Linked DNA regions of Solanum lycopersicum. The protein of the gene in region 4 binds, or shares a complex with, the protein of the main gene of each other region. Links are inferred from orthologs where the notes say so. Each region holds a gene or a part of one and is shown on either strand. Other genes may lie near its edges.

Region 1 (2,650 bases), on a different chromosome or scaffold from region 4:
AAAGGCGGCGGCGCGGCGGCAGGAGGGTTGTTTTGGCATGTTTTGGCTGAAGGAATGGATTCATTTAAAGATGGATATGAGATTATATTGAGTGAAAGTTCATCTGTTTCTGATATTATTATTCAGCAATCTAAAAGGCTTAATAAGATTAGAAAAATGTATGCAAGGTTGAAGAATATAGAGAAGTGGAAGAAAGCAAGGAAATTAAAGGATTAATCATGAGAATTAGAGAGATTTAATTTATGTTAGAGATGAATTAATTTAAGTTAGCAAGAAGTTAGATAATGTTTTTTTTTTTTTTTTTTTGGTAATGTACTGCTCGACATGTTGTATGTCAGAGGAAGTATTCTAGTAGTGATTTATTATGCCTTAAAAAAAACATCGATTGTATCGATGTATCTAGTGTAATTTCATATGATTTTATTTTATGAAATTGAAGAGTTTATTTTTGATAAATTAAGATATTTCAAAGCATATTAAAAAAGAAATATAATAGTAAAGAAATTATTTTTTTTTAAAAAAAAAGATTAATGAATCAATACAACGTGTGGGATAACAAAAATTGAAAGTAGGACAAGATAAATAACTTGGATTTGCTTATGGCGGTAAGCACAACATCACTTCTGTTTATTCAAACACTTTATTCTTATCAAAGATTATAATCGAACTAAGTTATTATCAATCATGCCTGGTTGAATTAATCTTTCAATAATATGTAAAAAAAAAAACAAAAAACTATTTGGTAAACTCTAGATACAAAGGAAAAAGGAGGATATTTGATTTATAAATTGGCCAATTTGTGTTACACGTCTCGGAGAGGAGAGACCGATAGTATTAAATTCAATGGTCAAGAAGTCGTAATTGACACTCTATACATGGTGGGTGATATGAGTATAAATATAAATAATCTACAGATAATATTTTATTAGCATTATTTCTCCAGATGGTTAAGACTTGGAACTTTTAAGTTAGAGGTCTTAAGTTCAAAATCACTTGCCAGCGAAAGTAAATTCTGGGTTGAGCTCATCGCACCGAATTTGCCTAATGCAGATTATTTCTCCTATGTGATTTGCGAACTAACGTATAGGAGCGGGAGTTTTACCATGTGCCCACCCAAAAACAGCGATTACTTAAAAATAAAATAATAAAAATACTTTTGAGATTAGTCAAACCTTTTTTCTACTAGGGTAAATGATATTTTTACAACAAACAAGTTTTTCTTAAAAAAATATGCAATACTTATGCAAGAAATCAAATTAGTAATAACGAATCAATAACTAATCCCAAACAACCCTAACGAGTTTAATCCATTTTTGAAAGAGTATTTACATAAATGGGCCTTACCTACTCCTTGGGCTTCAAGTAATAGCCCAAAAGTAACATCATACAAAACTAGCCCAAGTAGAGCCCAATCAAATATACAGCCCAATATCCTCAGATAAGCAATCTAATCTTCAACCCGTTCCTCTTTTTCTCCATCTCTCATTCTTCTTCTGCAAAAATACCAACAATGGCGCTCACTCTCTCCAACACTTTCCTTCAAAAAAATGTCGCTCCTCCTTCATTCTCCTCCAAGAAGGTAACTCCCCAAAATCTCCATACCCATAACTTTTTTTTTTTTTTTTTAAAAAGTATATGATTGTTGAAAAATTGAATTTTGCAGATGGGAATTGGGAGCAATCAAATGCGATGGAGCTGCAGGAAGAAGGATATACATCCGCAATTCTACGATGACGCTAAGGTATATTGTAATGGAGAGCATGTGATGACAACTGGGGGAACAAAGAATGAGTACACAGTTGATGTTTGGTCAGGTAATCATCCTTTTTATCAAGGTAGTCGTTCACAGCTACTTCTTGATGCTGACCAGGTAGAGAAATTCAGGAAGAAGTTTAGTGGGTTAACACAGATTATGCAAATTCCAACTCTCAAAGGAGAGATTGTGCTTCCTCCTAAGAAGAAGAAACCTACTAAGAAGAAGTAGACTTTATTGTGTGTTTGTAATTCCCTTAGTTCGTTTCGTAAATGGGGAAATTGTTGGAGAATTAGGGGTTTTGTGTATTTTGTGTTTGTATTTTGATGGTTTCAGTTGTGAACTCAGTCTATTATTTGAAAATGGAAGTATAAAAATTCAGTCTTTGTTCTTCAAATTTTTGGATTTGCTGTTGTTGTTATATGGTTCATCAATTAGTTGGGCTGGTAGAGCATTTAAGTTGAATCCAGTGAATTGTCTTGCTTTCGATTGCCATTATTGCTTCGACTATTGGAATGTAATGAGCCTAATAGAGCTGAATGGATACAAAAAAATTGTGTTAACTTAAAACAGTTTGGATCAGGTGTAGTTCATTGATCATAGTTTACGTTCAATAGTTTCAAATGAGTTGTCTTTCACCCCTTTACCTGATAAACTGAACGAAACTTGTCCGTTTTGCACTATCTTGGTGTAATGTTATACCTGTGATTGGAAAGGCTGATTGTTTCAGGGTTTCAGCCGTCCCTTGAATCCTTGACAAAGTAAAGATGAAATAAAGTCTGTTATAGATTTGGTGTCTTGTCTTTTGTATGGTTGCATTAGCCAAGCGTTCTAATGTTAGTTGTACTGGTGCTGTGGTGCACTTCCATTCTTGCAGTTTACTGTGTAAAATGCTTT
Region 2 (3,154 bases), on a different chromosome or scaffold from region 4:
TGTTGAGCTCATATTAATATTGAGAAGGTAGTTCCTCATGTTGTGATGTTGAGCTCTTATATGTGGTAAATTGTGATTTGAGTTGCTATAGATGACCAAGGAGCATCACGTTGGCTTTGAAGCAGCTGCATGGTACTGGCATTTTGTAGACGTGGTTCGGTTATTCCTATTTGTCAAATTCCATGTTTGTGTGTTGAATGGACTTGTGAATTACACCTTTAATTTTTAACTCATGTTGTTTATATGTTTCTGGTTGGGCTGCTAGTATTGAGTCTCCTAATTTCCCCTACAAAAGATTTTTACTGTCATTCGGGGACGAATGTTCCTAAAGGGGGATAATGTAACACTTCGAAAGTCCATGACCTAATCTAGAGATTCATATAATGAACCAACACTTCAAAAACTGTTTATTTACCTGAAATACTATATTTAAAGTATTTAGGAAGTGTTAGAGTCAAATGTCAAGAAATGACCATGACGTTCGATGATTGTGAAATATGCACTCGTGTGCCTTGGCATGTTGCATAGAGGTTTAAGAGTCGTAATTTAATGAAAGTTGGTAAAAAGGCGTTACATATATAGAAGAGAGTATTTAGGGTTGAAATGTACAGGTACGACTCCCCAAGGGCCACCCTAGGGGTCCTTGAGGAGGACCCTTCCATTTGGACCCAAAAGTTGTCAATTGACAGTGTACAACCACGAGCCAAGCGAGGAGTCGTCGTTTGATCGACGCTCCGTAGATGGCCTCATAGGTTGACACTTATTCAATTGGCCTGGATGCTCCAAAAATCAAGTCTCTGTCCCAAACAACGACCAGCAGCACGGGGCCGTTGATGGGACTACAAGGCATAGGTCGAGGAGTCGTCGACTGGGTTTGTTTTGCTGTCAAGTTTTTAAGTTGGGGATTTGATCAGTTAGTTAGTTAGTTAATTAATTAAGGGTTAGGGGGTGGTTAATTAAGTTAGTTGAAGGACTATATAATACCTAAGCCTCATTAAACTAACCTAACACCCCACAATTCCCAAACTCAAATCCTCTCCAACTTCTCTCTTCTTTCTCTCTCTATTGCAAGACCCCATTGAAGAACAATTCAAAGCTTGAGTAGGACTTAAATACTTCAAATTTTATCCATCAAACACTAAGTAATCCTAAGGTATGAAAGATCTACACTCTTGGGATCTCTTTCCCCAAAAGGCTCTTGAATTTGGGTCAAAATGATGAAATTGGATAATTTTAGTAAATTTGGAATTTTCATCCAATTGAGGGGCATAAATGATGAAAATTAGTAACGACAAGAGTAAAAATAATTTCCTTTTAAGGTAAAAGACATAGTAAATCAATAAATAAAATTGAAAAATATTTTTACCCTTTCCACTTTAAATAAAAGTGTTTTACTGTGTCAAACCCTCTCTAAATCCATCTTTAACCCGTTTATCTTTTCGGATTACCTAAAGAGTCCCTTGGATTGCAGATAAGGCATCAAAACCTCTTATAGATAGACAGAAGAGTAAGAGGGAGAGTTTTGAAAGAGAGAAAAAATGGCTTCTTTGTCAATGGGAAGTTGGGTATGTTCAGGAATAGGAAACCACAGACCATCCGCTTCGCTTTCTCTACGTACTGGTTCTTCAACAACGACTACTTCTGTTTCTTTGAAAATGGCTGCTAATGCCTCTACTCATTCTGGGTTGCTTCACTGCTCTTTTCTTCCTTCCTCTGCACTCTCTACATTATCTTCTTCAACATCCTTTTCTGGTAAGTTCCATAAATTCTCTATCTTCCTTTTCAATTTTGATGTGGAAATTGAAAATGTGAATTAGAGATTTCAGTTGTTATTTGAATTGGTAATGTGGGGTTGTTTATTGATTCCTGTTTTAGGCAGGTAGTATTTTCATTTGAATTGCTTCTTTTGAGAACTCCTTAATAGGCAATTATTCGCTTGTGTGTATCTTGAGTCCTGTTAAATTATATACACTCTTTGAAGGTACAAGGGGGAGACAAGAGTAGGTTGCAATTCTTCATTCTGATGTTTAGTATTCCATATAACACAAATTTGTAGTGTCTATTTGTGGTCTGACATTGCTGTGCTATTGAAAAAAAGTGAATCGTATTTCTGATTTTATAGTCAAAATCCATTGGTTAAAGCTAGATTATAAAACAATTGAACCAAAAAAGTTTCAACAAAGAGGAGACCTTTAAGGTCCAAAAGACATATGATCAATTTCATATTAAATTGGCATGATGAATAGTAGCGAGCTAATGGTTTAATATGTGGTGTAGGTTCATCATTTGGCATTGGCTTCAATTCCAACATTGGAGTGAGCACCACTAAAAGGCGTGGCCTGGTGGTGCAGGCAAAGAAGTATGCTCTTTGTCAGACTAAGAGGAATAGGTCGAGGAAGTCGTTGGCTCGAACACATGGTTTTCGCAAGCGTATGAGCACCACCAGTGGCAGAGCAACTATCCAGCGAAGACGTGCAAAAGGCCGATGGGATCTCTGCCCAAAGTCTTCACCTAGAACTGGAAAACGAGCTTAATGTTTATTGTTTTCTTGCAACTGATTTTTGTTGGTAATATGTTAACTATCTTTTTCAGAATTTTGGGCTGCTGTAATTTTCATCTGTTTTATTTAAAGAACTAATTTACTAGTTTCCATATTTTTGTATTGTCCACTCTTTCATTGATTGGTTTTTGCTTTCTCCTTCTGATCTTGTTCATGAGTCTGGTCAACAAATCGACCCTGAGAAATTTGTAGACTCAGCAGGTTTTCATTTGTCTGATTCATCATAGGGCTTTTTCAGAGGTCTAATGTTTTCTTTTGTTTTCCATTTGTCATTGGAGAAAGTATTATAAGAAAGTTGCTCCACCAAAGAGGGGAATATGAGACTGACATGTTGAGGTGTTTTATGGACATCGATCGAACAAGGCCCTTATGTAAGGGTGCTATATTGTTCTCACAAATCATTCTTCACATGTTGGGTGAGCTTGGATTGTAACTGCAGTTATTTGGAAATTTCAGAATTGCATTTGTGTTACTAAATTTTGCTTCGTAACTGAGGATTTTACTAGTATGCTGCAGGATCATCCGGCTGTTGGCATGTGTAAGTTGAAATACAATTTAGAAATGTGCCCCAACCGAACCAGAAACCGACCTGTC
Region 3 (4,214 bases), on a different chromosome or scaffold from region 4:
CCCCCCCCCCCCCCTCTTCCCCTACAACCTCTTTTATTGTGCATATGTTTCTGAAGCCTATTCAGTCATATAGAAACTAAGCTCCATAGGATTGATGATTGTAGGCAGCCATGACTACAGATGGAAAAGGCGGATGGGAGGAAATCGCAGATTCCCGTCTTGATGGGAAGTATGATCTGCAAGAACTTAATGATGTAGCAGCACTTGCATACAAATGTGTGAATCGTGCTGCCAAGAAACGGCCTTCCATGAGGGACACTGTGCAGGTTCTGTCAAGGATACTCAAGTCTAGACACGAAAGAAAACGCCAGAAGCGATCTTTATCTGCAACAGCAGAGGAGATTACCATCAATGTTGAACAAGTAGATCATCGGAATCCAATCTCTGGACATCGACGTGTTGAATCTATAGATAGCACAGCTGACTCGTATGAAGTTTAACTCAGTTCTTCCATTTGTTTATTTTTTTGTTTCATCTTGTAAAATTGGTCAGGTTGTTAGGTTTCTTATTTACAAAAACACACTTTTGTCTTGGTGAGTTCGTTTGGGATACTTAGGGGTATGTTATAGTCTGAGTGTATGATAGCCTTTGTTCCCAATTTTGTTCTAAGTTTTTGTAAATTTGCGTGGAAGGTTAATGAATGGTAGAAAACGGGGAAAATCCCAGATCAGGCTTTTCCACTTCTTCTACATTAGTATCCTATTCAATCTAATTTTATTAAAAAAGAACCAAGCTTTTTTTATTTTTTAATCCCCCGATACTTTTTTTCAATATATTTATTTGTTCAATTCGTCTTTTATATGTTTTGTCAACCTATAAAACATTAAAACTTGATCATTTTTCCCTTCTTAAATTAGGGCAAATTGATACTTTACAAATTTATAATTACAAAAAATCTTCAAAACGGATACAATAATACAAGCGTTGATACATTAATCTAATGCGCGAGATGCAATAATTTAATGTATGAGATACACTAATCTGATGCGTGAGGTACATTTTATATATGATACACTAATCTGATGCGCGAGGTACATTTTATACATGATACACTAATCTGATGCGCGAGGTACATGATACACTAATCTGATGCGCGAGATATACTAATCTGGTGCGCGAGGTACATTTTATACATGATACACTATATGATGCTCGAGATACATTAATCTAATGTGCGAGATACATTTTTATACATGATACACTAATCTGATGCGCGGGATACAATAATATGATTCGCGATAGAAATTGATGTGATGCATGAAAATTGTGAAATTTTAGAAATTTGTAAAACTTATAAGGGATAATGATAATAATTAAACTAAAAGGTGAGATTTTCGTAATTAATCCACAATCCCGAAATAGCTGAAAAGGGACTTTATAATTGGGCCGTACTCGACCCGTTGAAGGTCCAATTAAGTTGGATCGGGTGTCCAGGGATAGAGAGAGAAGAAGACGAAGGTTCTGGTTTTTATTATCCTATCCAAATACTCAGCTCAGTGTTGTTTCTTCCTTCAACAAAAGGATTTTGCAGAAGGTTTTGAACAATGGCGGCTCTGCAGAGCTCCTTTACTGGTCTCTCCATCTCCTCCACCTCCTTCTTCGGCCAACGCTTCTCTCCTCCTCTCTCCCTTCCTCTGGTATGCTTTCTCATAACTTCAACTATCTGGTTTTCAAACTGAACTATCTCAAATGTTAATTGTTTTGTTTCTACAACTGTATCATTCGGTCCAGCTTGCTCACAACTCGACTAATTACGTAGAATACCTGCTACCTCTAGCCAGAATTGAATTGTGTTGCAAGTAACTTTCTCCATCCAGTCTTACATAAATGCGAAGAAATAAACTAGTGTATTGTGATTTGAACCAATAAATCGTAGTTGTTCACCACTGCATTGACCACTAGGCTATATCCTATCTGTTTATCTCAATTTCAATTGTCTTTGTGAAAGGTCTTTGTTTGAATAATTTGATTTCTATGTATTAGGGATCATAGGAACAAAGGTATCCATTTCCATTGTACTATTGATTATAAATTAATTTTATATTATTTGATTACAATATATTGTGAACTTTTTCTCTGCTTGGTCACCATTGCTACCTGAGTCCTTTCTCATATCATATGTTTTTTCGCTATTATAAGTTTTGACTGCGTGTTTGGTACGAAGGAAAATGTTTACCTAGAAAACAAATGTGGAACTTACTAATTTTCTAGTGTTTATATGGTAACTAAGCTAGATAATATTATTCCAAGAGCATTTATATGTTATATATCCAACAAAATACTATGGAGGCGAGATGGGATGGGGAGTGGGGATTCGGGGATGGACGGACGTGATATGGTCAAGAAGTGGGAGTTGGAGGGATTGGGTGATGATAACTTGAAATGCTACTTATCCATCTTGTTTTTCTTACTTCCACTACGGAAGTCATTTTCTTTATTTTGAACTTGAACTTGTTTTCCTAAAGAAAATATTTTCGTAACACAGGAAAGTTGGAACTACATACCAAACACAGTGTATTTCTAGCTGCAAGAGAATAATTTTATATATAAAGACATCTACAATTTGATACAGTAGTTCCTCAAAAGTTCTTCAAAAAGTCAAGTATATTAAGAATATGCTAATTGGTTAACTTAAACTTACCCCCTCTGTTGTGATTGATGTCTTCCAAGTTCTAACATAGGATGAACCCTGTATTTGACTTAAGGTTCGAAATTTTAATATTTGGACATATTTATCAATTTTTTAATACATATATAGGGTCTGAGTTAAAGCTACTGGGTGCTGCTGAACCCATATTATACATATGCCTCTGTGTTCCTCGATAATAAATCGTTCTCATATTATAGTTACCTGTATAATCAGAAGTTATTGGAAGCAAATATGGAATAAGATCTGTCTCCAGAAAATGCACTTGCTTGTTATTCGGTTAACACTTTTTGGATGTATATCACGCCTTACGCAGTTTGTCACTTTTTATTGTGTCAACTGTAAAACTGGATAATCTTTTGCCACTTTAATGACAATCTCCATATAATGCCGTGCAGGTTAAATCAGCAGAAGGTCCATGTTTGATTACAGCAAAGGTTGGTATCTTGATCCATTTTGGTCCTTTAGTATATTGTCCGAGATAGACATTTCCGGCAACTACTTTTATAGGGTTGCTGTTAATGTGGTCATGCATTTCTTTTATAACTTATGATGTAATGAAGGAAGTGCTCGAACTAACTTGTCAACAGCTTTTAAAAATGGCCACCAAATGTTTGTATTGCTAAACCTTTGGTACTAATTTTTATGGGTATGATATTCTTTTAGCTGAAACAACAGTTAATGAGAATTGTGATTAGAATTAGCTTTATCATTGAATAAGAGCTTCTTTTTATGTCTATTTTGCAGCTTAAGCGATGGGAGCGTAAAGAATGTAAGCCAAACAGCCTTCCAGTACTACACAAAATGCATGTAAGGCTGGGTGATACTGTAAAGGTAATCTCCGGCCATGACAAAGGTAAAATTGGAGAGATTACCGAGATCATCAAGCACAACAGCAAAATAGTAGTAAAAGAGGTGAACTTGAAAACCAAGCATGTGAAGAGTCGGAGTGAGGAGGAACCAGGCCAGATAGTCAAGGTTTTATCTCGATTTCTTTCTTCTCTATCTTGCCTAAAAATTGTTATCTTGAGATTTCATTTCGTCGTGGCTAGCATCGAATTCATCTTTGCCCTAACAAGAAAGTAAAACTTTGTGTTAAGATTTTAGATTGAACTTCCCCAAGTTGTTTGGATTGAGACGTAGTTGTTGTTATTGTTTCAGATTGAAGCTCCTATTCACAGCTCAAACGTGATGCTTTATTCAAAAGAGCAGAAGGTAGCCAGTCGGGTTGGTCACAAAACTTTAGACAATGGAAAAAGAGTCCGGTACCTCATTAAAACTGGGGAAATCATCGATAGTGCAGAGAACTGGAAGAAAGCAGTCAAAGAGAAGGGGAAAACAACAGAAGCAGTAGCTGCTGCTTCCTAGGAGATCCACTGGTCTGTAAATTCTAGTTCGATTTTGCTAATTTTGAATCTTCTCTCATTGATATATTATGATTCTGTTGTCACCTTCACCTTTTTAACTCAGTAACATAAGATTTTATATTAAAGTACATTTACTCAAAAATTCTGTTTGCCAGTACTATTACGTACTAGAGTTTGATGGTTAATGGGTCGAATACAAT
Region 4 (4,265 bases):
CGCGGTCATAAAAAATAAATGCATTTAACTTGCAAATATTTTTATACTAATATCCATACATTAAAATCATAGAAGAATAAGTTCTTAAAAAATTATTAGCAATACTGCAACATAAATTTAATTTTATTTGTCATTATTAGATAACTCAAAAACCTCCAATTAATGAATTATTCACGATATAATAAATCATTGGTTCATTAATCAATATTGAAAGACAATAAAGAAGAAGATATTAGGTAAGCTTATATATAGTACTTCTAAAATTTAATATAGAATATCAAAATATGAATTTTCGGAACTAAATACAATAATTTTTTTTGATAATAAATATACATACAATATGTGTATATGTTCAATATAACCGGAGAAAATAAGTTAACATAAACATAAAAATAATGTTTAAAATATGTACTCAAAAACAACAATTAATAACATGAGTATAAATTAATGAGCGTAAAAAAACATACCAGGATATGTATAAATACCATTAAATATAAAGGAAAAAATCGAGTCAATTGAATGCACAATGTCCCATTAAAAAATCTATTCCCCTCCAATATAAGAGGTTTTAAAGAACTACATCCTCTCAGGATGAAATGATTCTATTCACCAACTTATTGATAAAATAATGGGGGTGTTAATAAGTCACTCAAAATGAGCAAAGTACAAAAATATTTAATTTTACGGATGTAGAAGAGTATCAGAATTTTTGTTGTTTTAAAATGAGAGGAAATTTTTGTATTTATAGACAATAAAGGTTAGCGTGAACAAATTCTTATTGTGCCTTATCGGAAAGGTTACAACTATTTGAAATAGTTGCAACCCTTCGGAAAGGTCACCACTTTTCATTAAAGTTGCAACTTTTCATAAAAGTCACACTTTTGATAAAAGTAACAACTCTTCATTAAAATCAAAACTTTTGATAAAAGTCACAACTTTTCATTAAAGTCACAATTTTTCTAAAAAGTTACAACTGTTTTAATAAAATTCGCAATTCTTCGTTAAAGTCGCAACTGTAATTTTCATAAAAGTCACATGTTTTCAAGCAAGATGAAGGCTAATTTTGGAAATAATTAAATTTAAAAGGCAATTCTTTCTTGTGGTGCTGCCATGTAGGCGGGCAGAGATTCTCTTTTATATAAATATATGATATTCTTTTCTTGTGAACACGAATACTAATTTGACTCTTATTTTGAGACTCTATGATTAATTTACGTAATACGAAATAGATAAAAATCTACATCCCGATCTAACATACATCTTATGACTTCATTTAGATTCAGTAACTTTAACTCGAATCATATGTGTATCAAAGAATTTACCGATATCAAGAGGGGGCAAAAGAGAAACTTTGTAACATAGAGGGGGAAATTGTTATTTAGTTGAAATAGGATAAGGGGTGAAATTGTCAATACTCTTTAATGTGCAAGGCAAAAAGGGCTCTATCCACTATACAAGATAGTTCAGCTCTTAAGAGACTCAGTCTTGTAGCTTGCAGGCAAAATTCAAAAATGAGTAGCTCTTCACTCACAGCTTCTTTACATGCCAGGTAAATTTAGCTTCTTGAATCTGTTGTTAACACTATGAAGCTTGTTGCTTTTTACATTTTCATGTCGATTCTAGAATTAATGAAATTGGGTATTTGCACATTTGTTGTTTCATTGTCAATTTTATGCAATTTTGTGTCTTTTTAGCTTCTGGGGTTTCCTTATTATACGATAAAAATTATAGCTTTTGTGTGTTGTGGGTAAGGAACTTAATTGTTCTGCTCCCTTTTTCATACTGGGTGCATTTAGCTTGTTGATTTTTACACTTTCATGTTGATTCTTAAATTGTTGAAATTGGGTATTGTGCATTTGTAATTTCTTGCTCAATTTATGCAATTTTGTGTCTTTTAGCTTCTGGGGTCTCCTCATTATACAATAAAGTTTGTAGCTTTTGTGTATTGAGGGTAAGGAACTTAATTGTTCTGCTCCCCTTCACATATTAGGTGCATATAGCTTGTTGATTTTTACACTTTCATGTTGATTCTTGAATTGTTGAAATTGGTATTGTGCATTTATAGTTTCTTGCTCAATTATGCAATTTTGTGTCTTTGAGCTTGTGGGTTTCCTTATTATACAATAAAGTTTGTAGCTTTTGTGTGTTCTGGGTAAGAACTTAATTATTCTGCTACCCTTCTCACTCACTGTTTCTATACATATTAGGTGCATTTAGCTTGTTGAGTTTTACTTTTTCATTTTGATTCTTGAATTGTTGAAATTGGGTATTTTGCACATTTGTAGTTTATTGGTCAGTTTGTGTCAAATTTATGCAATTTTGTGTCTTTCAGATTCTGGGGTATCCTTATTTGAAGAATAAAGCTTTAGCCAGTATAGAGGGTGTCGGGGCTTAGCATGTTTTCTTGTAAAAATAAAAACTTTGATCTTGTTTTATCTATTTAAGGTCTCCATTTGTTGAGAGGTTTGAATGGGATTCATATCTTGAGTGTGGCTGTTATTGGTGTTGGCTTTCTTGTAAAACATATCTGTTATTCTTGTTTTATTTCATGTCAGCACTTTGCGGTCTCCTTTTGTTGGGAGTTTGAATGGGTTTCATGTATCGAGTGTTGCTGTTCGCCGTGTTGGTTTTGTGAGTAAGACGGTCGAATGTAAAGAATCAAGAATCGGGAAGCAACCAATATCAGTACCTTCAAATGTGACACTCACAATGGAAGGCCAAGATTTGAAAGTTAAGGGACCTCTGGGGGAGATGGCCATAACTTATCCACGAGAAGTAAAGCTTGAGAAGGAAGATGGAGGTATTCTAAGGGTCAGAAAAGCCATGGAGACAAGACGCGCTAATCAGATGCATGGTTTATTCAGGTAGTCTGCAGTTTAATTGTGCTGTTTTCTCGACTTCTTTTCTCGGTTTTATTCTTAGATATGGTAAACATTCTAAGTTATAATTTACCTATTACTACTACGTATGATCAAGAAGCTATAATCTACTTACTGGAGTAATTACTTTGAAATTCACGACTGGTTTTGATGTGGACTAGTGATGACTTAGTTCTTCTGACATAAAATTTAAGATTTAAAGGGTCTAATTGATCTTCTCCAATTATATGATATCATATTTTATAACCAAATTGAGATGTTTCCCAGTCCTAGTCCTAATTGATTTTATCCTAGTTGTTAATGAAGAGGAAAGGATAATTTTTTCCTCTTAATAAGGTAAAGAAGGGCAGTCATTTCTTACCACCTTGAAGTTTTCTGTTCTTTTTAGTACTTCTAAGTTTCAAAAATAGTGAACCTCTTTGTGGTTCTAAACTTTACTTATTTGATCTTAACTATTGATATATATTACTTGCTGTAGCCTCTTGCCAATGGTTACCTAATAAATTGATATAATCGAATGCTTCTTTTGCTATGAGGGGACTCGAAAATATGGAAGAAAACGTGGACATTAGTCACTGTAAGTAGCAAAAGAAGTATGTTGCTCGGGAATCACCAAAAATGTTATTGCATTTGTGTTGGATCCTCAAAAGTTCACTACTTTTGGAGGGTCTGACCTGCACTCGGCAGCATTTTGAAGAGTCCGAGCAACATAAAAGCAGTACATAGTTCTCAGTCTTGACATGTTAAAGAAACGATCTTTTGTCCGAGCAACATAAAAGCAGTACATAGTTCTCAGTCTTGACATGTTAAAGAAATGATCTTTCTCACTATGAGAAGATTGACTGGCAACAAAGTTCAAATGTAGCAGATCCTTAGTTCCATGACAGAATTAATGATTCTAAGGTCATGAGAAGTGATAAATTAGGCAGAAGAGGGAATATAGACGTAAGAACAGCTAGGACTTCTAGCAAAGGACATATATCAGTGCTAGTCGTAGTGTTTCTAGGCTAAAAGGTATCACAATTAGGGGGTGGTGAGAAAGATCTATAATATCTGGATGCTAATAAGCCATTTGCAAGTCTCAAAAGCCACAAGTGCATATACTACACTTTGGTCAAGGGGAAAATGGAAAAAAATGGATACGGTTAAAGTTTTCAATGTAAACAACAGATTTGAAGAGGAAAACCCCAACTTTAAAAGAAGGAAGAGAAAGTAGAAATAATTAAAAAATCTATGTTTTTGAGTTTAGACACGCACTTCAATTGGTTCTTTCATATTAAAACTCCTTATACTCTCCAACGGCTAGTTAACGACTACTTTAACTTAGGGAAGATCATAACTAATCAGATAAAAACAAGGGAAACTTCCTTTTGAGACATACTCACA
Region 5 (2,236 bases), on a different chromosome or scaffold from region 4:
GGGTACATGATACTGGATCGGACACCAGAGTTATAAAAATATGCAATTTAACTCTTTTTCCAATAAAACAAAGCACTAATTGCCAAAATGCTAGAGGTAACCAACTCATTTTTACTCGGCTATAGGATGTTTTGGGCTGATTAGTGCAGATGAAGTTGGTCAATCCATTAATCTTGATGATTCATATAAGTGGGGGAACAATAAAGGTCACGGACTACAAATGGGATAGACTGGCCTATAATATTACTCACAAGGCTAACAGTAGATGCAAAGAGACGTATATGTTTGTTCTTTTATGTGTAAGAATCATACTCAGGTGTATTTTGTATGACCTACTTATTTTCAAGTATCTTTTTCACGGTGTTTGATTGTCATGTAATAATTGATTGAGTCGCCTTCAACATCAAGTGATTGAGTTCACGTTTGATGGATAAAAAACACTATTAATCCTTCTGGAGTGGGGTGATTTTACACATATATATTATAGCAAGGAAAGAGTAATAGGTACACGTGAACTCAAGTTGTGCCTAAATAAGCAACTAATAACAAAAAAGTGTTATTATGGTAATGAAAAAATAAAAGTATCCATTCAAGTGAAGTTTACTTCAATATCATCGAAAAAGGAAGGAAAATGAAACGATTTGACACCAATTGAAGGAACAATTTAACCTTTTAGAAGTAAAGTCATTTCCTCTAAACATGTAACCTACTAATAGTCAACATTCACTTCTCATAGTTATGTCCAAAATACAACTACTATGCTCCATATATTATACAATAACTTTTATATTAAATCATATAATATCAGAGAAAGATTAAAATAATTATGACTAGTTGAAAACATTACCAAACATACAGACACAAGTTGAGGAATTGTGTCCCATGATCTTATAAGATTATTACTCATTTGAACTCAATTAGGCCGTGTACTTTTGACTCTAAATTATATTCACTTATGTACTAAAATTTCATAAACTATTCTTTAATCACAATGACCTTTGGGTCTCTAACTAAGAATTTCTCCGTCTCTGCCCTTTATACACACCGTCCATCGCTCCTATCGATTGTGAAGTTACGTTTAGTTTTCAGACTTAATATATGAACATAAATGGTAAGTTATTATTATACAAAAATATAAACTATACATAAATTAAAGACCAACACTAAATAGAAGCAAAAGTGTAAATGATCCCACAGATTTATTTGGGCCAGACCAATTGTTGTTCTACTACATCCAACACTCAAATAACCCAAAAGGGCTTTAAGGCCCAAATGCCAAACGGTGTCGTAACCTTAGCAGAAACTGAAGTCACCAGAAGATAACGAAGGCAATCCACTTCAAAGGTTCCATTAAACACAGCCAGAAGAAGGAAAAACCTTTGAAGAGAAGAAAAAAGAAAATGTCAGCCTCCGCCATATTCGGGTTGCAGATGGCGGTGTTGCCGCGTTCCTCAACTGTTTCAGCGACCGGATTCACCGGCGGAGCCACCAGGTTGGCGTCGGCACCCACAAGTATCGGGGGATTGGTAATTGAGTGCTCATCTAGGCCACAGAAGAAGGCTACAGCTCACCATAAGAAGACACGTCCACGGAAGACTCAAGCTTGGGATATTCGACGTGGACCAGCTGTTTATGCTCCGTTACCTCCCTTACCATCGGAGTGGTCCTTTGCCAGTGATGAATCGGGTCAACCCGCTGCCGCCGGAGCTTCAGAGTCCGACGCCAAATCTGAGTAATTTTTCTGTAACTTATCATTTCGGCTTTTGTATAATGGTGTTTTCCGTCTGATACTTTGGGGAAATTTGCAACTTGTTCAATTGCAGTTTTGGCGCAATAAGTGATTTGAAATGAATGTTTTACGCTTTACTTTTTAATCTATTCAATGCCACTGGATAATGCCGTAGCTTGTGAGATAATAAACAATATCCTTCGAATATCGGTTCCGTATAATAAAATAGCAAAATTATATATTATGTAAAGCAAATATCAAATGTGATCGGGGAGAGGGGTCTCGTACTAAAAACAATGAATGAGAAAACAGTAGCTATGTTTGTATTTGCATTAAGGCAATATACTCGCTCATTCAACATCGGAATCCTTTGAACTATGTCGCAACAACCATTCCGATCAAAACCAAACTATCCAGTAGATTAGACGAGCCAACAATGTACATTTTATGTTCCTACTGTAAATGGCATATTTACAAAGTATGAAACCCAATTATTTGCCCTCCAGA
Region 6 (3,328 bases), on a different chromosome or scaffold from region 4:
AGTGAAGAAACTGGCTAAATAATAAAGATTAGGTTTATTTAATGAAATGGGCCACTACGACGTTAAATTTTCAAAAAATTATCCAGCCCACAAACCAATTTAGACTTGGGCCTACCTCATTCCAGTCTAATAGACCCCAATATTTTCTTGGTAAAAATTTTTGTTGGGCCAATAAAATTTGATATAGTAAATTTCATATATAACAAATACAAAATTTATATTTGTATGATATAGCAAAGTTTGTATACTTGCGCTCGGTGACAAATATAAATATGCATAATTCCCTATATACATATACAAAGAAAGCAGTTGTATAATTCACTATACATATACAAAAGAAAGCAGTTGTATACAAAAGATAAATTGTATAATCTGCCATTTGTGTATGTATAAAACGAGAAAAAGAGAAAGACAAAAGAAAACTGAGCAGGAGAATATTTGTTTTGTATAATTACAAGTGTATAGGACGAAGATATATGTATTTACATGTGTATATACAATTTTCTCTCGCTTTATACAAACAGAAATGCAATTTATACATTTCGTTTCTGTTTGAATAAGCGAGAGAGGCGAGGGAGATTCGGGAGAGTGGTGAGTGAGATTTGAGATAGGTGAACAAAACTATATGTATCTATACAATTTTCTCTCACTTTATACAAACGCAAACACATTTTATACAATTGTGTTTGTATAAAAAACGAGAGAGGTGAGTGAGACTGTCACAAAACGAGAGTGGCGAGCGAGATTCCACCAGGGAGAGTGGCGGAAATAGCAATAGTTTGCTATAGGGTACAATTAAATCAAAGTATATTTATAACATTTAATTTAAATTAACAGTTTGCTATTATATACAATTTTCCTGATTTGATACGATCTTCATTCAATAATTTTTAGCCCAAAACTTAAGCTAACATTTAACCATAAATTTCATCATATGTTTGGCTTAATTTTTGGAAACATATTTCACTTTTTTTAAGAAATGTATACTAATAAGTTTTAAAAGTTATCAAAACTAACTATAAGTTTGTATTGCATAACAAAATAGAATAAAAAGATTCACTATCGTAACAATTAGTGTCCATGTCACTGAAGCAATATGGTAATTCAGAGATAGTGCAACAAGCATCATTGCATACATTATGAAGTAGACGAAACATATTGTTCGTCACTTTTATCAATAATCATATCGTCATTTTCTTATTTACTGAATATTACATCATTATTTTGATGTTCACGTAAAAAATTTTACTTGAAAAATCTATGGCGAAATGGATCCGAATTTTTTTTACTTAAACATTCACAAATTAAAATTTAGTAGAGAGAACTCTGTTATATCCACAAAGAACATCTTATCCAATTACCCTTTTATTTTTCACACACAGAGAGAAAAAGCTCAGAGAAAATGGCGGCTTCTCCTCTTCTTCTACACTCCACGGCCTCCTCTTTCTACAATGCTGAGTTTCCGGCGTACTCCGTTCGATTGCCGGTCGGAAATACCAAGGTCCGGTCGTCCAATAAATTGACGGTGAAAGCTTCAGCAACAGTACTAGTGGATAAAAGTGAAGCTGAAAAAGTTAATCGTCTGAAAACAAATTACCTCGAAAAGATTGTGCCGTTGTTGAAGGAAGAATTCAGTTACACCAATATTCTTCAGGTAAACTTAGGAGTCGTTTGTCCATTGCATTTTTTTTCCAGAACAGATAAAAATTAGGGCTTGGGAAAGGGAAAATGGGGGAATTGAACAAATTTTTCAGTTTTTAAAAAAGCTTAGTGCAGGTTCAAACACAAATTCAATTTTCAATTATACTTTTCAAGTTAATTTCAATTTCAAAGCATATGTACTTCTTTAGCTTCAAATTTTACAACTTATATCTACAAATTTGAACTGTTTCTTGTTTGTTTGATTAAATGTTGAATTTTAGAGTTGAAATGCTGAGAAATTAGTTTGTTTGACACTATTATCATTTGAGGAGTGAGAAATCACAGTGAATATTAGTTGCATTGACCTATTGCTTCAAACTCTATTATTATTTTTTAGTTTTAATTTGATTTGATACGGAATGTGGAAAAACCGTGTTTTAGGTTCCGAAGGTCGAAAAGATTGTGGTAAATTGTGGTATAGGAGATGCTGCACAAAATTCCAAGGGTTTGGATGCAGCAATGAATGATTTGGCCTTAATTACAGGGCAAAGGCCTGTGAAGACTAGGGCTAAGAATGCTATTGCTACTTTCAAAATTAGAGAAGGTCAACCGCTTGGAATTGCTGTTACACTTCGAGGGAATGTAATGTATTCGTTCCTTGACCGGTTAATTAATTTGGGGCTTCCTCGAACGAGGGACTTTCAAGGCGTAAACCCCAATAGCTTTGATGGTCATGGAAATTATAGCATTGGCTTTCGTGAACAGAGTGTCTTCCCAGAGTTAAGTTATGATGCTCTTGGTAAGCCAAGAGGGATGGATGTTTGCATAACAACAACAGCTGAGACAGATAAAGAGGCACACAGATTGTTGGCTCTCATGGGTATGCCATTTAGAGAAGGTTCTGGTGGACAGACAACTTTTACGAAAAAGAAAAAGCTTAGAGCTCACCATTTTGACTCGAAGGCGAAGCAAAGGTCTAGGAGATGAGGTGGATCCAATCTCCAGGGATAATGAGTTGATTTGTTGTTTTTTAACTGTTTTGTGGTTTATCAGTTGTTTTTGGCGTACAATTTGAATAGAAAAATCTGTAATTGCACTTTTACCATCTGGCTGGTGATGTCTCGAATATATGTTATTTACGTTTTCTTCCTCTAAAAAAAAAAAAATAAGAATTGTTTTTATCTCTAGTTAAGTTTTTACTATTCATGAATCTTGATTACTGTAATTTGTATGTTATTAAATATTTCCTACCCGCTCCCTTTTCTCGTCTGCCATTTACTTTGATTTCAGGCAAAGAGTTTCTCTTGTTAGCTCCACCATATTCACATTTAGGTGAGTTAACATCTCTGCTTTTATCTTTTATCGTATGTGATAAGGAGTATTTGCGGGCGATATCTTATTTACGTTTTCTAAATTTGTCCTAATGCTTAACACTTGATGTGTGTGAGGCTGTGGAGTCCCATACTTATTTCTACTCCCTGATCCCCCACCTTTCTCCTTTCTTCCTCTAAGGTTTATTTATATTCGCATATTAGAAAGTCACAGTTATTTATAGTATATACCATGTTGCTGAATCTTTATTCCCTTGGCTTCATTTTATTCTGCTCAAATTGTACAGAGTTTTTTCTTTCAAAGTGTGTATGAATGTGCTTTTTAGTGGTTTCAGGTTCTATGTCATTTGATTTGG
Region 7 (3,379 bases), on a different chromosome or scaffold from region 4:
TCTTGGTGAACTTGAATATTGTTGGATTGATTCAGACATGGATTCTTCAACTCCTAGTGATGATGATGATATGAATATTTGGTTCAAGGATTGTTACTATGATCAAAATGGAGTTGAAGATTTCACTAACTTTGTTGGTGCATGTAGGGAGTTTTCTTGGGAAGAATCTTGTGAATCTATGCTTTATGCGCCTGATGTCTGATATTCATATTGGAGCTCAACTAATCTGGATTCACATTAGTACTGAGGGATTCATTGTTTCCTCGTAAAGGTGACTTTGTACTTTGAAAGATTCAAATCTGAAATCTCTAATTAAGGATGAAGGAGTACTTATAGATAGTCATTGAGATAGGAGTATTGATTAAGACGTTTTTCATGGCAATTGTAAATCCCATATTAGTATAAATTCTTTTTACTAAAGACCTATGAACTTTCTGTTGCTTTTAATTCAATGTGGAATAAGCATAGCTTACCTAATTTTAGGATGTAAGCTGCAGAACCTATTTTTATGGTACATTTGAAATTATTAGTTCAAAATTTAATTGAGTTTGTTAAGTTTCAACATAAGTGGAACGAGGAGAAATTGATTTCTTTATATACTCTTGAACAATCATATCTCCTCGATTTATCTTTTGAATTGAGTTAAATCTAATATGGTATTGAAGTTACGTCCATCTCACTTCATTATCATTTAATATTAGGTCTCCATTTTATATTGCTTACATTCATGATATCTGACCATGAACGTGCAAAGGAGCGTTGAGTCTTAAATTGATTGATAAGCATAAATAATCTTGAACAATTATTTCCTCTTGAGCTAGCTACGATGTTACAGTTAGATTAGATTCAAGGTTTGTTTTCTTAACCGAATTCAACATACGAGTTGGGCTTAGCGTATCATGGAAAAATTGGAAAGGGAAGGCAATATGTAGCAGGCTGCATCAATAGCGCCTCAAAATAAAAGAAAATGAAGGTTTTGGGCTTATGATGGTGTAGCCCCAACTAACAAAAGACTTGATCAAGAAAATTGTATAACTTTTATATTATATCAAAATTAATAAAAATAAAGAGCACATTTCATAAAAATTTTATTTGTCGCTTACGCTCTAAAAAATTTATTTTTTTTCCTACACAAAAGAAGATTTAATTATGTTCTTAAAGTATTGTAAATTAAATAGACATGCCCTTCAACTCTTCGTCAATAGTTTGGCTTATATATGACCTTATCATTTTGAATGTGTTATTAGTCTAAATGAAACATTTGATTAACCTCATTTGTTGATTCATAAGTGAAAAAATTATCAAATATACTCTGACAACGATAAGCATAGAAAGAATAGAATATTTGTAGACCTTATCACTATCTCGTAAAGCTAGAGAGTCTGTTACGTCGTAAAGTTGAAGAGTTCATTGGCGCAAAAGGATCGGTCCTTCACTTGCTGATCGTTCGCAAGTCGAACTCGCTCTCTTGCCACGCCTTTCACTCACTCGCTTGAGACGGACTCAATCACTCTTTGAGTTTGGAGGATTCACTCTCTTGTTATTACCCGCAGGGAGCGCATGTTTCCGCAAATATGTCCCTAAATTTATCAAATATGTGCTCAATTTCAAATACTTTGAGGGTATATATGACTTTTCCATTTTCACTAAATTTATTTGAACAAAGAATATGAATACATTTTGATATCCTTCTTCCTCATTTGTGGATAACCCAATCCATAGGCTTGCAGTTTGCTCCTTCACTGCAAAAATGGCTACTTCTTCTTCTTTATCTTTCTTTTCTTCCACCATTTTCTTCTCTAACTCCAACACCCTTCACTCCTCAAAGCAGCAGCAGCAGAAACAACTCATTTTCAAACCCAAACAACAACAATTCTCCATCCGTTCAGAGGCCGCCGCCGCCACTATTCCAATTCTGTCCTTTGATGGTACCGAAGTGGGCTCCACCACTCTCAACTTAAAATCCGCCCCTCTTGATACCGCACGCGCCGTCGTTCATCGTGGGCTTACCACTGACCTGCGCAACCAACGTCGCGGTACTGCTTCCACCCTTACCCGAGCCCAAGTACGGGGTGGTGGTATCAAACCATACCCACAAAAGAAAACGGGTCGAGCTCGACGTGGGTCGAACCGAACTCCTTTACGACCAGGTGGTGGGGTTGTGTTTGGGCCGAAACCTAAGGATTGGTCAGTTAAGATTAACAAAAAGGAAAAGAGACTCGCGATTTCTACTGCGCTTTCGAGTGCTACACAGAATGCCATTGTTGTGGAAGAGTTTGATGATAAGTTTGAGAAACCGAAGACTAAGGAGTTCATTGATTTGATGAGAAGATGGGGATTGGACCCAAAAGAGAAATCTTTGTTTTTGATGACGGAAGTTTCAGACAATGTGATTCTCTCCAGCAGAAACATTAGCACATTGAAGATGTTGACACCCAGAACTTTGAATCTTTTCGACATATTGGATTCTGAGAAGCTGGTTTTCACTAAATCAGCTGTGGAGTTCTTGAATGAACGATACGGAAATGATGATGATGATGATGATGACTGGGAGGTGGTGGACGAGGAAGAAGAAGATGGTTAGTTTTTGCTTCATTTTGGGTATGAAGTTTCCTTTCAATTTTAGCTAACTCGTTAATTTGCTGCATTCAGGTGGCGAGGTGGAGGAGAGTGCTGAAAGTTCTGAGTAATATATGAACATGGGGCGAAAAGGGTCTGTTCCATTTTAGAGGAGGCTTTACCTTACAGGGAGCTTAGTATATTTCACTTTGAATTGTATTTTATTGTATGATAAAACTAGGTGATTTTGGTTGATTTCATGTCACTGACTGCATTTGTCCATTACCTTCGTTGGAATAGTTTACTCTTGATTTTCGTTCCGCTCTCATTACCACTTTGAGTTCTTGATTTTTATGATAAGAGTGATTAGTTACTTTACTAATTAAGTCTTGTGTTCTGGCAAAACTACATTAATTGCTTAGTAGATGAAGCTTTATATAAGATTTATGGGTTACAAGTTGTCAGCCAGGCGAGATTCAGCAAAGTAAAATGATTAGGAAAGCTTTGTGTTTGAGTCTTAGGCTTGAAGCAATTAAGCAAAGTTAAGAAAAGGAAACCTTTATTTGGGTGGAAAAAGCTTCATCACCTTTTTCTTTAATACAAACACAAAGTAATTGGCAGGAAAAAATGCTCTTTACTTTGTTTTGAGTCATTGGGGGCATATGGGATGCTAAGCATTATTAACCTTGAAACAGACCATATCTAGTAGACTATCTATGGAGGCAGATAACTTGGACATTTGTACTATCAAAATATGTGATGGAGAGTATATGAGTATCTCTAGGCTTTTACTAGAACTTTTGAGTTTAAGCGCTAATTG

The links.
Region 1: 50S ribosomal protein L6, chloroplastic (region 4) and large ribosomal subunit protein bL31c share a complex: the UniProt entries of both Arabidopsis thaliana proteins name them as parts of the 50S ribosomal subunit. The link is inferred for Solanum lycopersicum from reciprocal best matches to the Arabidopsis thaliana genes emb2394 and emb2184.
Region 2: 50S ribosomal protein L6, chloroplastic (region 4) and large ribosomal subunit protein bL34c share a complex: the UniProt entries of both Arabidopsis thaliana proteins name them as parts of the 50S ribosomal subunit. The link is inferred for Solanum lycopersicum from reciprocal best matches to the Arabidopsis thaliana genes emb2394 and AT1G29070.
Region 3: 50S ribosomal protein L6, chloroplastic (region 4) and large ribosomal subunit protein uL24c share a complex: the UniProt entries of both Arabidopsis thaliana proteins name them as parts of the 50S ribosomal subunit. The link is inferred for Solanum lycopersicum from reciprocal best matches to the Arabidopsis thaliana genes emb2394 and RPL24.
Region 5: 50S ribosomal protein L6, chloroplastic (region 4) and large ribosomal subunit protein cL38 share a complex: the UniProt entries of both Arabidopsis thaliana proteins name them as parts of the 50S ribosomal subunit. The link is inferred for Solanum lycopersicum from reciprocal best matches to the Arabidopsis thaliana genes emb2394 and PSRP6.
Region 6: 50S ribosomal protein L6, chloroplastic (region 4) and large ribosomal subunit protein uL5c share a complex: the UniProt entries of both Arabidopsis thaliana proteins name them as parts of the 50S ribosomal subunit. The link is inferred for Solanum lycopersicum from reciprocal best matches to the Arabidopsis thaliana genes emb2394 and AT4G01310.
Region 7: 50S ribosomal protein L6, chloroplastic (region 4) and large ribosomal subunit protein uL4c share a complex: the UniProt entries of both Arabidopsis thaliana proteins name them as parts of the 50S ribosomal subunit. The link is inferred for Solanum lycopersicum from reciprocal best matches to the Arabidopsis thaliana genes emb2394 and RPL4.

Annotation. Positions count from the first base shown.
Region 1 is NC_090803.1:66,609,294-66,611,943, forward strand, and holds large ribosomal subunit protein bL31c, read left to right. Parts: upstream 1-1,360; 5' UTR 1,361-1,510; coding exon 1,511-1,579; intron 1,580-1,663; coding exon 1,664-1,984; 3' UTR 1,985-2,150; downstream 2,151-2,650. Other genes in the region: mannan endo-1,4-beta-mannosidase 7-like, read left to right, coding at 1-216. UniProt on the Arabidopsis thaliana protein: Binds the 23S rRNA.
Region 2 is NC_090800.1:53,256,371-53,259,524, forward strand, and holds large ribosomal subunit protein bL34c, read left to right. Parts: upstream 1-1,411; 5' UTR 1,412-1,538; coding exon 1,539-1,752; intron 1,753-2,277; coding exon 2,278-2,534; 3' UTR 2,535-2,654; downstream 2,655-3,154. UniProt on the Arabidopsis thaliana protein: This protein binds directly to 23S ribosomal RNA.
Region 3 is NC_090806.1:68,736,301-68,740,514, forward strand, and holds large ribosomal subunit protein uL24c, read left to right. Parts: upstream 1-1,414; 5' UTR 1,415-1,544; coding exon 1,545-1,637; intron 1,638-3,045; coding exon 3,046-3,084; intron 3,085-3,394; coding exon 3,395-3,625; intron 3,626-3,808; coding exon 3,809-4,015; 3' UTR 4,016-4,156; downstream 4,157-4,214. Other genes in the region: calcium/calmodulin-regulated receptor-like kinase, read left to right, coding at 105-440. UniProt on the Arabidopsis thaliana protein: One of two assembly initiator proteins, it binds directly to the 5'-end of the 23S rRNA, where it nucleates assembly of the 50S subunit. Required for optimal plastid performance in terms of photosynthesis and growth.
Region 4 is NC_090811.1:69,209,051-69,213,315, forward strand, and holds the start of 50S ribosomal protein L6, chloroplastic, read left to right. Parts: upstream 1-1,465; 5' UTR 1,466-1,511; coding exon 1,512-1,549; intron 1,550-2,555; coding exon 2,556-2,864; intron 2,865-4,265. UniProt on the Arabidopsis thaliana protein: This protein binds directly to 23S ribosomal RNA and is located at the aminoacyl-tRNA binding site of the peptidyltransferase center.
Region 5 is NC_090803.1:63,903,610-63,905,845, reverse strand, and holds large ribosomal subunit protein cL38, read left to right. Parts: upstream 1-1,400; coding exon 1,401-1,736; downstream 1,737-2,236.
Region 6 is NC_090808.1:1,642,860-1,646,187, forward strand, and holds large ribosomal subunit protein uL5c, read left to right. Parts: upstream 1-1,233; 5' UTR 1,234-1,402; coding exon 1,403-1,654; intron 1,655-2,082; coding exon 2,083-2,628; 3' UTR 2,629-2,828; downstream 2,829-3,328. UniProt on the Arabidopsis thaliana protein: Binds 5S rRNA, forms part of the central protuberance of the 50S subunit.
Region 7 is NC_090806.1:67,227,888-67,231,266, forward strand, and holds large ribosomal subunit protein uL4c, read left to right. Parts: upstream 1-1,259; 5' UTR 1,260-1,750; coding exon 1,751-2,579; intron 2,580-2,652; coding exon 2,653-2,690; 3' UTR 2,691-2,879; downstream 2,880-3,379. UniProt on the Arabidopsis thaliana protein: This protein binds directly and specifically to 23S rRNA. May play a role in plastid transcriptional regulation.